2 linked regions of the Kluyveromyces lactis genome follow. The main gene of each other region encodes a partner of the protein of the gene in region 2 in a complex. Links are inferred from orthologs where the notes say so. Each region holds a gene or a part of one and is shown on either strand. Other genes may lie near its edges.

Region 1 (2,547 bases), on a different chromosome or scaffold from region 2:
TCTACACGAATAGTATAGTCAAGTCTTATTGGAGGTATCGGTTTTACATGATCTTTCACTAGACTTGGCAAATCGGCGAGCTTCAAAGAAACAATGCCTGCGGCAAGCCTTTCTGGAGACACTAGCTTTGCTAATGAAGCATCCATTTTCACTAAGACTTTCTCACCGTTTGTGGAATCCTTTGGTCCCGCCTCGTCGTTATTCGTCAATAGACTGTTTAATAGAATATATTTGTAAAGAGAGTATATCGCCTCATGAAAGGTTCCTTTTGAGAATCCGACAATACATGATAGTTCTGGTGAATACTGTAAGAACTCCCCTGTATACCCTTTTGGTTGGATAGTGATGGTACAGTTAACGTTTTCAGTACCCTTACGTGAAACATCAACACCGTCAAACTCTACAGGAGTATTAGGATCCACATGCCATTCAAAAACGGTTTGCTCATTTTTTGGCTTTTTAGCACTAGGTTCCTGTGTCCCTTCTAATAAGGGGTCTCCCATTTCTTGATCAGTTTCATCATCTTGATCTTCCTCTACAGGTTTGAAATCTATCGCGACGCTTTCTATAAAGGAGGAAAATTTAGGCCTATTTGGATCGTCTGCCTTCCCATTATCTAACAGTCTACCTTCAATACGCAATGTCCATGATGCTTGATCAAGTTCCATGGTCTCATCGTTCGTCTGCCATGGCTGGTTCTCAGAAATATTAGAAATGAAAACACGAACAAACTGATTATTCGCAGGATCTGTGTATTTGGAATGAGTCCATTGAGTAATATTCTGATGCAAATCAATTTTTTTACGACTTAAATATATGTCAATTCTCTTCTCAGCCTCTTGTAACTTACTTAGCCCATCCAATTCTGGTATTAATTTCTTCAAATACGGTTGGATATACATGTCAGTTGGTTGTGCAACTGGCACAGTTTGTGCCTGTTGATGTTCAACCGTTGCTCCACTCTGTGCCGCAGACATTTGATTTTGATTTTTCTTTAATCTCAATCTAGCGGTAGCTTAGTTTATTCTACTAGGAGGTAAGCAGATGATATGTCTCATCTATACAAGTTGATGCATGTAAGTTAATGTACCAAAAGCTAGTGAATGCTTTGTTTAGGTTGATTGAATAATTCGAAAAACTGATGTTGAAACAACGAAAGCACCCATACACCCATACACCCATACAATACTTTATAGCGAATCGTATTAGGTTAGATTGTATCCATTACGCAGTTCATTTATAAATAAGTATTTCAAAGGTTACAAACACGGAGTAGTACAGTATGAACGGCTGTCACTCGCTAAACCAATCTTTTATCTTCTTTTTATGTACACATCTTTTAACTAGGCTGGCACTTAGATATGATTTTAAAGCTTCAAAAATTTTTGATAGTTTAAAATCACATTAGAACAAGATCAATCTAAAAGTTAACCATAAGCAGGGAATTAAAAATAGCGTCAATTGTGTTTGAAGTGCTATTCCAATAACTGCACACGCTCCAAGGGCTTTTAAAATATTACAGCAAAATGTTCAGACCGACATCATCGTGTCTTTCTGCCTTAACCAAACGTACAAAGAGAGTACAGGTACAGTTATTAAAAGATTTTCCTCAGTTCCAATTTCATACCGGCGAGGTGGTAAATGTCAAGCCCTCACTAATGAGAAACTTCTTGCACAACTATAATGGAGCCCGCTACATTCTAAAGGAAACTGATATTGACCAAGCCCTGTTGACCTCAGCTAAGAGATCACGTGCATCAGCAGCAGCTTTATTAAAAACAACCGAATCAACGGTGAAGAAGACTGAACAGAACGTAAAGAAGGCTAAGCAGGTATCCAAGGAAGAAAATAAGACACCAGAAACTCCTAAGTCAGCATTAAACGAAGAAATAACTATCGAGAATGTGAAGATTCCAGGATTAGACTTATGATAGTAAATGTTTTATCTTTTTTTTCCTCCTTACGCGGATCATTTGAGATACCAATGTCTTACAAAATAATAATGATCATGGATGTTGTTCGTGACGTCTCGTCCCCATTGCGGTTCAGAGGCACATTCATACACTTGTACATAAATTACATTAAAATAACTTGCGAAAACAATAAAGAAAGTTCGTTGCATCCAATCGCTACCAGTTGAAGTAATAACGTGGACAGTAGATCTGGATGATTCATACTAAATGGGGATTGACAAGAGAGTTATTACTACAGGAACGCTCATCACCTGGACGAGCATATTTCTCTTGATCAGCTTTAACTGTTGCTTTGGAAATAAAGAGACGAGAATGAGAAACAACCCCAATAGTGATGAACTTTCTAAATTCTCATTTTCTGTTTGTTTCTCAGACGTCTTTCTCTCTTTTCTCTTTTCTTCAACTCCATTTTATCAAGTTCTTGGTCGGTCAACTTGTCTCTCATATCCTTTCTCTTTTGTCTCTCAGCTTCTTGTTTTTTTTCAAGAGCCATTTCTCTTTCAACCTGTTGCATGACTTTAACAATCTTGCCTAACTCTTCTTTACGCAATTGAATACCCTTCTTCAAAATATC
Region 2 (3,050 bases):
TCCGAGCTGAAGCATAATAGAAAAATAAAAGGTTGTATTCTCTGTTTGAATTCTGGTAGTCAACAAGAAATGATGACAACAAGAGTTATATCTGCTTTCCTCGACTAAGAACGAAAGACCTCACGAATCCTTTTTTTTGTTACGATTAGATTTACAGCCAATACAATAACATATGAAGAAGAAACAGCCAAAAAAAAAGAAGATTCTATATATAGCCTCTAGGAAAATATTCAATCAGAGGCAGTCCAAAAAAACAGACGCACATGAACGCACGCACCATACACCGTATTATTACTATATAATTTATTATGTTACCGGGAATAAATGTTAACTAATGATCATATTCTTAATAGATTCGAACAAGCTTTTTAGTTTTTTTTATGATTTGCGTATGTTGCATTGATTTTCTACATTGCATATTATTTACATGAGGTATGAGATATTATTCAGACCACCTGAGGTTGTTGAAAAGTGTGTAATCATATATATCGCGAGAGAGACGAGGAGGAAATAAACTCTTTCTGGAAACTTTCATTTTTTTTTTCATACAACAGATCTACGAACTCTATGGAACACTCTCCCTTCTGGTAATCCGTATTTCTCTCTAATGTTTGCCACGTTAGAATCCCATTCTGATCTCCAAACATGAGCACCAACCGGGTCCAAGTTGTGGGAACGAACAAATTCTCTAATATCGAAGTTTTCTCTATCGACTGGTTCAGGGGATTCCAAATCACCATTCTGTCTGAATACCCATACAGAGAACCTTTGCTTGCCAACATTTTTCTCAGGTACTGGAGGAATGTAATCTGCAAGAATCTGCGATTCATTGTATTTTCTTGGATCTACCACGTTGTCGTTATAGTCTATCTTTAAATTAGTCAAACCGAACGCCAAAGTCGTCTTGAATGTATCATTCAACACATCCGGTTCATCTGGATTCACAATTACCACAGTGTATTTTTGCTTTTCGAAGTCGATACCGTTCTCGTACTCTTGAATCTTAATTGTTGGAACCATCGAAGTCGTGTTGGAGGACAAAATTTCACCAGGTTCAACCCATTTGTTCACACCAGTACTGAATGGGAAACGTAAATTAACCTGTACTCTTGGTTGTAAAGTAGGTAACGTATCGGGGATTACACTCAAAGTCTCTAGTCTTTGCATTAACAACATTTTTTCGTAGGATTCCCAATGCTTCAGCCCCAAACGCCTGTACACTGGAACAGCATAATCTATCACTCTAGTATCGTTCTCTAACTTGTCATGATACTGAAAATTGTATTGGACCTCTGGGTTATGCAATTCAGCCTCTGTTTCTAACTTAGCACGTACCTTGGCATCAGTCTCATTTTCTAGTTGCGAATACTTCTCTTCAGCGCGCTTACTCATAAACTCATAACTCAAGCGGAACATCTCATCAATATGTTCAGGAGAGGTATACTTCAAACGGTTCATCCTCCGCTTCAAAGACGGTGGACCTCGTCTTCTAACGTCATCGCTGTCGCCTTGAAAGATGTATTTCTTAATCGATTCTGATGCTAAACCAAGCGACTTGGATCTCTTAGAAAAGTCCGACCATACCCCGGTTTTCTCTAAACATTTGGCACTGCTGTGCAACCCTCTACGCAACATTCTCCAATTCGAGTTGTTAGTCTCTGAAACACCCTCCAATGGGATCCTACAACTGATTATTCATGTATCTTCATTGTCCGTTCATACTTAAAACTCATCTGAATCGTTCGAAATCGATTTTTCACCAAAAAATTTTAATGTGTTTCAGTCCGGGTAACAGAAGATCGTGCCTCTCGCTCCAAGTGGAAGTTCAGAGATCAATAACTGGTAAGCTTTGCCTTTGAGACTGCCATTCGGTTTCATATGTTGCAAATGACGCTCTTCTGATCCAGCGAACCCATCATATCCATCTTTCTTTGTATATTTTCTTCTTCCCTTTCCTATATGCGGATTATAATGATCATTTATGTTTGAAACGACGAATCTTATATGAGAATGCTCATCGCGACATTGTTTCAGATCTGTAAAGACAAGATGCCTCAACTTTTTCCTGGTATAAAGACCCTTTGCCAATCAGCATTGTAGGTTTACTTCTCATTCCCTGTATTATCCTGTATAATATTCAAAAGCTTATTAAATCAAATATGAACGGTTCAGAACCGAATTCTACAGAGTTAAGGCACGATGTCGAGGCAGTTACCATACTAATATCTAAACTTCAAGTTTACTCGCAGTTTGATACACAAACTCCAACAGAGAGAGCTTTTCCCTCTATGTTCAGCTCCGATTCTGATATAAGCGACTCAATTGACTCTGATGTCGGAGATCAGCTAAAGAGACGGTCTTCTTCAATACTGCGCAAAATGTTTAATAGGTCAAAGAAACTACTGCCAAAACTACACAAGAGGTGAAACGTATGAGCAGTTGTGCTGCTGGATAATGGAGGAGCTTCTCTTTTCATACTACTCCGTCTTATATCAAAATTTCTACGCTCACTTCTGAGCTTTTCAGCAGGGAAGGTAGAAAAAAATTTTGACACATTGACGAAAACAGATTGATAACACTTAAGACCTTTGATAAAGCTTTGAATGACACCTACTCTTTGATTTCATATTGGATTTTTCACTATATAAGACAACTGGGGTGATATATCCAGAGAACCAATTAGGTATTGGAATAGTTTATACCTGATTCACTGAAAGATGGCTGACGTTAAGATTCAAACTCTACCAACCGACTTTAGGGCCAACCATTATGAGATTGAATTGAGTGAGTTAGATGCTGAGCACAATTCATTTATCGGATCCGTGCGTATTATTATGTCCACTGTTAATGCCAATGACATGATTTCATTGAATATGAGGGACATTGAGATCGTTTCTGCGGTGGTTGAACTGAAAGAGGGGTCTGTGTCTTTGGGAATGAAGGACCATAGTTTCGATTTAGAGAACGATGTTGTTTCCTTGAAATTTCCGGAGAGTATATCTGATGATGAATTCGTGTTGAAGATCGATTATAAGGGTATGATTCAGACT

Evidence for each region.
Region 1: MRPL35 (region 2) and MRPL50 share a complex: the UniProt entries of both Saccharomyces cerevisiae proteins name them as parts of the mitochondrial large ribosomal subunit. The link is inferred for Kluyveromyces lactis from reciprocal best matches to the Saccharomyces cerevisiae genes MRPL35 and MRPL50.

The regions. Positions count from the first base shown.
Region 1 is NC_006039.1:791,553-794,099, forward strand, and holds MRPL50 (mitochondrial 54S ribosomal protein bL9m MRPL50), read left to right. Parts: upstream 1-1,526; coding exon 1,527-1,931; downstream 1,932-2,547. Other genes in the region: RSC6 (Rsc6p), read right to left, coding at 1-977; KLLA0_C09086g (uncharacterized protein), read right to left, coding at 2,317-2,547. UniProt on the Saccharomyces cerevisiae protein: Component of the mitochondrial ribosome (mitoribosome), a dedicated translation machinery responsible for the synthesis of mitochondrial genome-encoded proteins, including at least some of the essential transmembrane subunits of the mitochondrial respiratory chain.
Region 2 is NC_006040.1:1,119,530-1,122,579, reverse strand, and holds MRPL35 (mitochondrial 54S ribosomal protein mL38), read right to left. Parts: upstream 1,636-3,050; coding exon 544-1,635; downstream 1-543. Other genes in the region: KLLA0_D13079g (uncharacterized protein), read left to right, coding at 2,160-2,426; KLLA0_D13068g (M1 family metallopeptidase), read left to right, coding at 2,718-3,050. UniProt on the Saccharomyces cerevisiae protein: Component of the mitochondrial ribosome (mitoribosome), a dedicated translation machinery responsible for the synthesis of mitochondrial genome-encoded proteins, including at least some of the essential transmembrane subunits of the mitochondrial respiratory chain.